Nothobranchius furzeri: one gene and its partners. The protein of the gene in region 2 interacts with the protein of the main gene of each other region in a biochemical or structural test. Links are inferred from orthologs where the notes say so. Each region holds a gene or a part of one and is shown on either strand. Other genes may lie near its edges.

Region 1 (3,755 bases), on a different chromosome or scaffold from region 2:
GGGGGGGATTATATAAGCTACCAGAGCTTCGTTCCCTTCCCATTGAACATGTTCTACATGTCTATGTGTATGTATATGTATATGTATATATGTATATATGTATATATATATATATATATATATATATATATATATATATATATATATATATATATATATATATATATATGTATATATGTATGTATGTATATGTGTATGTGTGTATGTGTATATATGCATATACATATGTGTGGGTTTCTTTTTGGAGACTTTTTGAATGCTTTGGGTTGTCTATTGATTTGCATGCATGTTCAATAAATAAATAAATAAAAAAAATAAAAAATAAACAAATATCATGACTTTGTGTTTTTTTAACTCAGTGTCATCCAAATGTCATGATTTTGGGGTGATTACTTCAAAGTTACCCAACCATCATGATTTTGGGTTATTCACCCCAAAGTCACCCAAATGTCGTACATTGGCCTCTAAAACACCAAAACACAAGGCCAATATTTTGTGCTAGTGGGTAGTTTCCTACCTAGTTTATATATATATATATATATATATATATATATATATATATATATATATATATATATATATATATATATATATACATATATATATATATATATATATATATATATATATATATATATATATATATATATGAGTTTATGTGGTTGCTAATTGTTTGTATAAGTGAATACATATGTCTTCTCGTTATCTAGACTAAATGTGGTATTATTGTGTGTGCTCATTTCATTTTATCTTATTTGTACAATGTTTTTCGACTTCTTGTGAATTGGAGTCCGTAATAAAGACTACTTGCACTAATTTAAAATCTTGGAAATTTTAAAATAGTATAACTTATTTTGAAAGAATTTATAGAAAGTGCTAATTACTTATGCCTTGTTTAGCTTTATGTAAATGCTGTAGTAACAGTTTACATCCGCTAAAGGGGGATAACCACTCTCGAAAGCCAGATATTAAATCGTTGAGTTTTTGTGTTTCCATCAAGTTGACAGCTCTGGAACAACTGCCACGATTCCATTACGATCATCGTGTTCGATCCTGTTTCATAAATACAAATTTAAATGTGTTTTATCAATTTCCCTTTTGGGATTGTAGCGCTTTTCCCCCACTGGGGACAGTGCTGTTTACGAGAGACGGAAGTGATGTAATTCCACAGGCAGCGTCAAAATAGAAGAAGAAGAACCGTCGACAATGGCGATGCACGACGGTGCTCGTCCCGGTAATTCAGATCAACATAAAGCTTTTCTCACTTCTCCAGAGAAAGTTCGCGAACTTCTCAGTGAGGGAGTATCTTCACCAGATGTCGGTTCCAACAGGTACCTGTTTGCACACGACCTCGTTTTCTGTTAAATACGGGGTTTCGTTCGGCGTTTGAGTTAGCCGCAGTAGCCTAGCCTCTCATTTTAGCAGTTGTTCTTAGTTCTGCTGCAGGAGGAGTTTCAGGTCTGCACAGACATAGTTGTCAGCCCGAAGGACATGACTGGGAGCATTCATGTGCATACCACTGTAATAACGAGACAAGTTTCAGATGTGCAACTTCAATTTACCAGACTTGCACCAGGCATTCGGGTCTAGCAGTTTAGGAAGTGTTATGAAAGTGGTAAGATGGTTTAGATTTACTTCATAATTCAGATCTACATACGTGCATAAAATAAGTTTTAGAAAACACTGAACATCGACCAATAAGAAGCAGACGTTTCTTTGGAATGGCGGAGCAACAAAACAATGTTTTATTGTGATTAGTAAAATTAGACCCAGATTAACCATAAGTCCTTGGGAATGTTTCCAGCAGTAGCATCGTTACAGTAATCAGTAGGTAAAAGAGGAAAAGCAAATGGGGCAGCACTTAAAGAAAAAGTTTAAAGTGTTAAAGGCCAAGTTCATTAAGAAAACATTTTTTACTTGTTATTTTGGAAATATGATCGGTCACTCTGAGTTTACACCACCAAACCCTCAGTCAGGAATCTTGGTGTGACCTTTGACCCAGCTCTAACCCTGGATTCTCATGTCAGTTCTCTTGCTGCTTTTCCTTCTTCCAACTCAGTCTTATTCTGTCTCGCTCTGAACTTGAGATTGCATTCCATACCATCATCTCCTCACGCTTAGACTACTGCAGCATTTGACACTGTTGACCATCACCTGCTACTGGAGAGGCTGAGAGACTGGGTAGGCCTATCAGGATCTGCTCTGGAGTGGTTCTCCTCTTATCTCTCTGAGCGCTCCTTTTCTGTGGCCGTCTCCAAGTTTAGGTCCTCCACCACCTCTCTTACCCATGGTGTCCCACAAGGTTCTGTGCTGGGGCCTCTGCTCTTCCTCCTCTATCTGCTTCCTCTTCTTCACATCCTGCGCTCCTTCAAAGGAATGTTTATGCAGATGACATCCAACTGTACATGTCCTTTAAGCCCCATGAGATGTCTAAGCTGCAGCTGTTACACACCTGCTTAGACTCTATCAAAACCTGGATGGCTGGGAGCTTTCTTTAGCTGAATGAAGATAAGACTGAGATCCTCATCTGTGCAAGCTGGTTCCCAAAGTCAGAGACTCTCATGGTCAGCTTGCTTCCCGCACCAAACCTTCTGTCAGGAATTTTGGTGTGACCTTTGACCCAGCTTTCACCCTGGATTCTCATGTCAGTTCTCTTGTTCGCTCTTCCTTCTTCCATCTCAGGAACATTGCTAAGCTGAGTCCCATTCTGTCCCGCTCTGAACTTGAGACAATTATCCACTCCTTCATCTCCTCACGCTTAGACTACTGTAACTCTCTTTTCAACTGTCTGAGCAGAACCTCCCTGAACCGACTACAGGTGGTTCAGAATGCCTGTGCTCGGCTTCTGACCAAGTCCTCCAAACACACCCACATCACCCCGCTTCTCCTCCAGCTTCTTTGGCTGCCAGTCAACTTCAGGGTTCATTTCAAGATCCTGGTTCTGGTCTATAGGGCCTTACATGGACAAGCACCATCTTACATTGGTGATCTTCTCAGTCCCTACCCCCCCAACAGGTCCCTGAGGTCCAGTGATCAAAGCCTACTGGTTGTGCAACATACCAGGCTAAAGACCAAAGGTGACAGATCATTTGCTGCTGTGGCCCCCCGACTCTGGAACTCTCTCCCCCTGAGCCTGAGATCAGTGGACTCAGTGGTCTCCTTTAAAAAGCAGCTGAAGATTCACTTGTTCAAGCTGGCTTTTGTATGACCTTCTTCACCACTCTCTCTTTATTCTGCTCTCCCCACCTATTCCACCTTCCTCAGGATCCACTGATTTCCCTCTTTCCTATTCACTCTCTCTCTTTCTTAACATTTTTTCTTTTAAATCCCAAATGCCTATTTTTGCTCATTTTAAATATATTTTTAAACATTTTCTAAATGCTTTTTTATATTTTAACTTTTTTTTATTTTATTTTGTGAAGCGCCTCGTGATTTTCATCTTGAGAGGCGCTATAGAAATTATATTTTCTTCTTCTTCTACTGCAACTCGCTTTTCACCTGTCTGAGCAAAACCTCCCCGGACCGTTTACAGGTGGTTCAGAATGCAGTTGAGCAACTCTAAAGTGAAGCAGCGTCAACTCAAAGACCTGCAGTGTTTCTGTGGTCTTCCTCAGAGCTCCACAGGCAATCAGGATGACTACAGCCTCGCATGAATGCTGGGCGGCTTGGCTGCAAGGCCGCACAATGCTGCTCTACAATTGGGCCCAACCCGGAAGTACCAAAAATTGCAGTTCCACCCTCATCCGCTGGGGGCT
Region 2 (3,755 bases):
GCATTTATATAGTTTATCAGAAAAAACAGTTGATTTGGGGGTGACTTGCTCTTTAATGTTCGTTGCATCAGTCGGAGTAGCCATTAGCCTGTGATGAACCCATTTTAGTAACACAGGAGTATTTTAAAAATCGCATACAAACCCATTCGCCTGCTTCCAGGACCTTCAAGGTGAACGCCAGAGCAGCACTGGCCACCATAGAAGGAGGGAAATGAACCATCTCGTAGTCCATCATGGTGAGCTCCAGGACGTATTTGGCTAGAGTGTGCTGCTCCGCCGTTACCTGTGGACCAAAGGCAGAAGTCAGCAGACAAGTCACTGAAGATCAGCTGGACTTTAGCCTCGACACAAACCTCATAGATCTTTGAGGCCCTTCTGAGGAACTGCAGGGGAAGTGGTCGGCCAAGCTGAAACTTCAGCTCTCTCAGAATGGTCATCTCCATGTCCCGGATCTGAGCAGTGGTGTAGGCCCGGTCCGTCACATAGGCAAAGTCCGAGATCTCCGGAGGATACATTTCCTCATATTTGGAGGCAAGGAACATGGCGGTCACGCCCACTAGCTGCAGCTGCTTCTTGGGGACTGGATGGTCCTGTTGGAGACGCAGGAACGTGCACATTTAACACCTTTAATCTCTACACGTGGATACGTCTACCCACCGACGACGAGCGTGGGAATTACCTGAAGAAAGCGATCGATTATTCCAACGGTCATGTACATGGTCTCCTGCAGCAGACGGAACTTGAGGCTCACTTGCACCAGCCAGTCGATGAGGATGGCCCTCATATTCCCGGTAACCTCCTGACCCTGTAGGTAAGTGGGCCTGACGTTCTGCTCAACCTCCAGCTGACGGAGATACTTGTAGATGTCCTTCACATATTCACTGCAGAGCATGGGATTGTCATAGTCGTCCGCATCCACGTCCCTGACAGCGGTGTGGAGCAGGACGTCTGAAAACGCCTGGCAGAGATCAGCGGGTTTGCAGCTAGACGTCTCCATCGGAGTGGGCGAGGTGGGTTCAGGCGGCACCTGGAGCAGAGGAAGTTCAACACGTTTTACAGGTGCGTCAGCGCATGGATCGAATCAGGATTTAAACTAATCAGATGACTCACCTGAACTTCAGGCTCAGGGTCAGCAGCAATGACGACCGGAGGCTTGGGCTGTTCCACCTTTACCGCTTTAGGTACAACTTCAGGCTTCTTTGCAGCATCGATCTTGACATTCTAAATCCAAATATGGTCGTTGAAGCCCCCATGGAGAAATTAAATCACCTGGTGCTTCACTAGAGTTAAACTGAAGATTATACAGTCTTGACAAGTTTACGCAGGTACGCTAAACAGATCCGATTACCCACTTTAAAGTAAGCATCCCTAGTGAGGCAGCCAGGCTGCATCCAGGTGAGTCACCAAGGCTAGGGCGGGGCTTTAAGAAGGTGACATGTCCAATGCAAGAGTACCTTCTAGGTGGATGTGTGCATGAAAATGGCTTCTTCCAGGCACCGGGGCTCTGCAGCGCCCCCTACTTGAACGTGTTATTATGGGATTAAAAAAAACCTTTACCTGTCCACCACTTTATTTAAATAGCACGTTAACAGCAGCATGTCTGCTAGCATGTGCTCTACATGTTAGCAGCGCTTTAAAAGAAAATGACTTCATCACATCGAGTCTAAAGTAGACGCATGAAGTTCTCACGTGTGAATATTATTAATACCATAAAAACTCGAGTATTTAAAACTTCTCACCTTTTTCTGAACCTCTTTGTTCAGCGGGACGTTTCCGATCTCACCAAGCGCGCCTCGAGGCTTCTGCTTGGGCCCGTTCATGCAGGCCTTCCCTCCTCCGAGCTCGGTTCTGGTAGAACCGAGCCGAGTCTGCAGAGAAACAAAAGAGTCCTTTAGCCGCTGCTGCATGTCGTTCATCTATAAACACAAAATCCGCTTCAGGTTTGACTCTGAACTCTCAGCAGGACAGTGCCTGAACTGGTGAGGTACACCGAAGCACGGAAGCATTTTAAACGCTAATACTAATCATTCGACATGTTTCTAGGCGTGTTTACGCGGATAAAGAGCTGTAAGACCCGACTAAAGACTCACTCTGGTCACTCGAAGAGCCATTTTCAAGTCTGCGTGGTTCCGACAAGCAGTGAAAGAGTCGTAATGCCGAGCGAACGAGTTCAGCTAAAGACTCGCTGTCTTCGTTTAAATCCTCGTGCGCTGCAAGCTGATTCGCTGCGCTTTGACTTCTCCGAGCATCTGATTGGTCCATCAGGCAGGCAATGAATGCGTTTCCTAGACAACGTACGATCACGTGACATCCTCGTATTTCCTTTTCCTGTTGCGTCTTGCTATTTTCTCTGTTTTCTCCTGCTCGTTAGTCAGTGAAACCTCGATATAAATATAAATAACAGATCAGTATGTGTCAGTTTATAATTAGACCGCCATACACATTCATTAGCTTTTTATCAGCCTCTTAATTAGTTTATTCAGATTTGCTACTCACTTGTAGGTGTTTTTGAAACCACATGCTGTTTAAAAGTAAATGATTGTTCGGGGAGTGAAAACCAGTGCTTCCAGTTTGGCTCGTGCCTCTCATGTCTGAAATAAACCACAGCTGTTGATAAAATAGTAAAACTTGGGACTAAAAGATGCTTTCAAACAATGCACAAACATTTCGAAATACAAAATCACGATAAAATATTTTTGTTTTATGAGCAAACGTAAAAGTGAACATATGAATTTATTTTACTGAGAAAAATGTGTAGAATATTGCACACTTAATGGTTTAGAGAGTGTTTAGAAAATCGCAAAATAGACTTCTATGTGAAAATAGTAGAAACCTTGTAGCTTGCTCGTGTATTTGTGAACTTTTACAGAAATATGTACAGAAATGTCTGCGGACCCACATGGAGAGTCGTGATTAACGTTGGACGATGACAGGTGAGTTCCTGAGCCTGAATGTGCTGCACCATGGACGTCACTAGGATTGAGATATGGGGGGGCTTAGCCCCAGGAGCTTGACCTTGAACGTTTTTTGTCACACCCTGCAAAAACTTTGTCAATTAATTCATTATATGAAGAACATTTAACAAAACCTATTATTTCATCACTTTCTTTTCCTTTCCTACCTTTGTGCATTTTCTCTCTTCTTTTTATAAAAATAACACTTAATCAGTTAATTAGTGGGGTCTATGTTGAAGAAAGATTTTATGTAAGTCCATTAAAAATTAGATATGTTATATTTCCAAATAAAGCTATTCATTTCAGTCTACTGCACTTAACAGGGGGAAATGTTGTAGTCATTTATTTAATTTGTTGAATTACAACTTGTTTAATTATAACTGTTACTGAAATGTGACAATAAAGAACAAATGAATAATTGTCAAACTTTTATTCTGCCAAATGAGTGTGCAGTTGACAATTTTAATATATGAATAACACTGCTATGATATGGAATAAAGGAGTGTGTAATTAACTATTACAAGACAAAATAACAGTATATTAAGAGCCCACCCCATAATCGAAGGATTGCAGATTCTAGCCCTGTCTGTTGGTGTTGTTGTTTCCTTGGACAAGACACTTAACCCGTTTTGCCTGCAGGTGGTGGTCGGAGGGACCAATGGCACCTGTATACGGCAGCCTCGCCTCTGTTCGTGAGCCCCGGGGCAGTTGTGGCAACATCGTGGCCAGGGGTGGACTGGGACCAAAATTTGGCCCTGGCATTTTTATGAACCGTCGGCCCTCGGTAGGGGAGGTTGCTGC
Region 3 (3,655 bases), on a different chromosome or scaffold from region 2:
AAATCAGGATTTTGACCGTTCGCACGAACATTCTAAATTTTGTTAATAGGAAGGAATTTAGGAATATTTCTACAGACGTTTGATGAATGAGGGCCCAGGTTCTAGGAAATGGTTATTAAACTTGCTAAAGCTTCAGAAGTTAGTAACAGAAACAAAAACAGGTAGCCAATATAAATCTGCTAAAATAACTGACATGACCATACAGAGACCAGCAGGTGTCAAGACACAGAAGTGAGGCTTTAGAGGGAGAAAGATTTTAGTTTTGGTAATCTGACACGAGGATGTTTGCTTTCCGACAGTAAAAACAGCCATGAGGATCAAGAGAACCGAGAGAATTGCTCAACTCTTCAAAACATCCCCTAAAATAATCCGTTTCATCTTGTTTGTGTTTAAATAAAAAAAAAGGGGGGGGGGATGATAAATGTAATGGGAAACAATGACAAAAGGATGTTGTTCTAAATATGGCCACAGGGTGGCGGTGTCTTAACAGTAACCTCATCTGTACAAAAGGACAGAAGAAATTCAACAGAAACTATCTGAAAGCTCGTTTATCAGAGGAAACTTATGACCCATCTGGTCTTCTAAGGATACCTCTGGGTTTGCCTCCGAGCCTTCTGGGTTTGCCTCCGAGCCTTCTTCTGTACAGTTCTGGTTCTGGGCCCCATGGTGATGCTCCACATTCTGCATGTTTCCATGGTGATGCCCCTGACGCAGCAGCTGGACAGGAACAGTCATTTTCTTGCCTTGCGAGTCCCAGGAGTGGACAAAAAAGTCCCATTGTCCCTCGTGAAGAAGAACCGGTCTCTTTACCTGCAGGAGAAGGCCAGACTTCAGCAACAAGCCTGGACTCAACAACACTTAGAAAGCTTGAATATGCCAGATGTCTAACACAAAAAGGGTTTAGAATGTCTTAAATGGTTTGTTTATGAAGCTAATTTAAATTTTTCATTAAATTCCAAACTGTTAACATCTTTTTCTTCAATAGTCCAAAAGAACACTGTTACTAACAGAAAATATGCATCATCCACAATAATGATGGGAGCCGCAGTTAAATGAAATGTCTGAATTCATATTTTCACCAAAGTATCTCAAATATCTTCATATTTTCTACAACCAGTGTGACAGAATTATGGTTTAATCGTCCACCAAAGCCCTGGTCCACATTTCTGTAACAGAACTGACCCAAAACACCAGAACATTCAACAGGTCTGAGATGAACACTAAAGTGACCATGTGTATTTTTCCTGGCGATAGGGGGCAGTAGATACCATAATCATTGCAAGCAAGCAGACATCAGTGGATGCCCATCAGGGTCAAAAAGCCCTGGGGAGATCAAGCTTTAGCAAAATAAGCACATCAGACGCCCTTTCATCAGTGGCAACAAGTGAAGAGGTGAATGTGTAAAACACGTACGACCAAAGTTTTGTAACCATCTGTTACAAATCAGTAAATGCATTTTGTCCACATGGGCTCCCATGTATTTTAGACCTGATTTGTATGGTTACATGTTACAAAAGCCGCCAATATTTTTCAACAAATGGGCATCTTTGCATTCATTTAACAACATTTTGTTGGATATTTCCAGAAAGTAATGGTAAAAACTACACATCGTCTCTTTAAATAAAAACCTGAACAGAAGTGCTTCACTCACAGCTAACGTTCCATCTGAGTGCACAACAAAACGATTGTCATCAGTGGTGAAAAGGAACCTGGTTCGCAGCGTGCAGTCGGAGAAGTCAACTGAAAAAGAACAGAACAAGTCATTTTTATTACAAATAAACACAGAAAGGAAAGAAAAAGCCCGCAGTAACTGGCAACCTGCTGGAGACGGTCACCTGAACAGCCTTTGTTTGGAGAAATATTCCTAATCCTCTCTTCAACAACTAAGCACTTTTGGTGCATCCAGGGACTCAGCAGAAATGTTGTATTTATGCACCAATCAGTGACTGCAGTTTAAATCCTGGGGCACACCGGAGATAGACAGGCGCGATAGTTACAACATCATGCGGGACTTGGGAAAAGGAAGCGGGATTTGACTATTGCTCATACGTGATCAGACTTGCCGTCGTGTTTTGTTAGACTAATTCAATAAAAATAAATAAGCATGCAATTTATTAGAATTTAAGATCAATAGTACTTTGAAGTTATCAAAGCTGCAGCTGGGTTTGTGCCGTAAAGCCGTTCCGCGTCGTAATGTCTGTTGTAAAGTACCCCACAATGTCGTAAACAGCCACGGCGCCCATTTTCAGTGCCGCGCTTCTGGGACGCGGCGCTCCTTGTGTTTCCACTCATCAACTATACTGGCTTCTATTTAAAATGTCTCCGATGTGCCCTAGGCTGTAAGATTTATAAAACTGTGTGAAAGGTTCTAATTTACTTTTTTTTAGAATGCTAGCATTCAGACTAGCCATTAGCTCATCCACTCTGAGAGCCATTTCTCTAAACAGAGGCTTTATAGACGAATATTTAAGACTTACTAAGGAACAGACTTCAAAATGCATTAAATAGTTTCATTTTGCCTGTTATAAATTAGTATTTCTTCTTTTAAGTCAGGTGTGAAAAAACATCGTTAAAACTGCAAAAAAGGAATATTAGGCTTCAAAATCTCATCATTTACTGGCTCAATGAAGAAAGGGGTCGGACCTTTGAACATTTTTATTTTTCCCAAATGTAGTGGGCTAGATGACTTTCCTCCAAGAAAGTACACATCACATTTAAGTCATCGTGGGCCACAAAAGTTAGATTTTTCTTTATTTTGAAAACCCAAAATTATTTTTTTACTGCTCAAAGACAGGCCTCAGTAGCCACGTTTATATGCGCCAAGTTTCCCCAATCCGATTCAAATCCCGGTTGATCGGAAATCCCGAATCTGTTCAAATGCACACTAGCAGTAATGATCCAATCATGCCATGAGTTTATATGCACTAATTATTCAGATTAAATAGGTTGAGCATGCTCAGAGTTTTCTTTCCCGGAAAAAAAAATTGTAAACGTCATGAAACAAAATGAAAAATGTAAAATCAGAAAAAAACAAATCATCTTGTTTTTCTGATTCATTTAATCAATTTAATGTCTTTATTTTGCTCATAGAAGTTACGTTTTCCTCCATGAATAATTGCAGCTGTATGCTTTGCTGTGTTTTATTTTTAACAATATGCCTTTGCCTCTTGCGGGGGGGGGGGGGGGGGGGGGGGTATTCAGACTCATTACCGATTACTGATTTTTATATCACTTCCACAAAATGCAAGTTCTGTCTTCTGGATTAGATATTACAGAAACGGGACGGCTTGCCATCAAATTAAAAAGCTGGCGCTTGTTGTCATTTTTTAAGTCAGGTTGTCCAAATGATGGCGGGGAGGCTTGTTGGGTGTTGCACAGGCACAGTGGGTGTTACTTTACTCCAACAATCTGAATGGCTGTGTACATGCACGTCAACCGGAATGAGGATCGGACAAACTACCTCTCTATCGGATTGAAATTTCATACCGATCAGGCCGAATTGGATCAGAACTTTCCGATTGACGTGTTTATGTGCAGAATTTTTGATCTCATTGGGCGTTCAATCCGATTAAATGTGTGCATGTAAACGTGGCTAGTGATTAAAATTAGAAAATCAACAAGCTGCTGGAGACAAAATTCCACCATTCTAGAAATG

The links.
Region 1: of the proteins of ccnb1 (region 2) and zc3hc1, one has a biochemical effect on the other in vitro, tested with the Homo sapiens proteins (3 studies listed by BioGRID, with this or other methods). The link is inferred for Nothobranchius furzeri from reciprocal best matches to the Homo sapiens genes CCNB1 and ZC3HC1.
Region 3: of the proteins of ccnb1 (region 2) and B-cadherin, one has a biochemical effect on the other in vitro, tested with the Homo sapiens proteins (3 studies listed by BioGRID). The link is inferred for Nothobranchius furzeri from reciprocal best matches to the Homo sapiens genes CCNB1 and CDH1.

The regions. Positions count from the first base shown.
Region 1 is NC_091741.1:47,412,044-47,415,798, reverse strand, and holds the start of zc3hc1 (zinc finger C3HC-type protein 1), read left to right. Parts: upstream 1-1,165; 5' UTR 1,166-1,206; coding exon 1,207-1,331; intron 1,332-3,755. UniProt on the Homo sapiens protein: Required for proper positioning of a substantial amount of TPR at the nuclear basket (NB) through interaction with TPR.
Region 2 is NC_091746.1:73,743,165-73,746,919, forward strand, and holds the start of ccnb1 (G2/mitotic-specific cyclin-B1), read right to left. Parts: upstream 2,224-3,755; 5' UTR 2,112-2,223; coding exon 2,091-2,111; intron 1,869-2,090; coding exon 1,740-1,868; intron 1,222-1,739; coding exon 1,111-1,221; intron 1,028-1,110; coding exon 680-1,027; intron 591-679; coding exon 354-590; intron 284-353; coding exon 143-283; intron 1-142. UniProt on the Homo sapiens protein: Essential for the control of the cell cycle at the G2/M (mitosis) transition.
Region 3 is NW_027223037.1:4,224,040-4,227,694, reverse strand, and holds part of B-cadherin, read right to left. Parts: intron 1,741-3,655; coding exon 1,652-1,740; intron 811-1,651; coding exon 592-810; intron 1-591.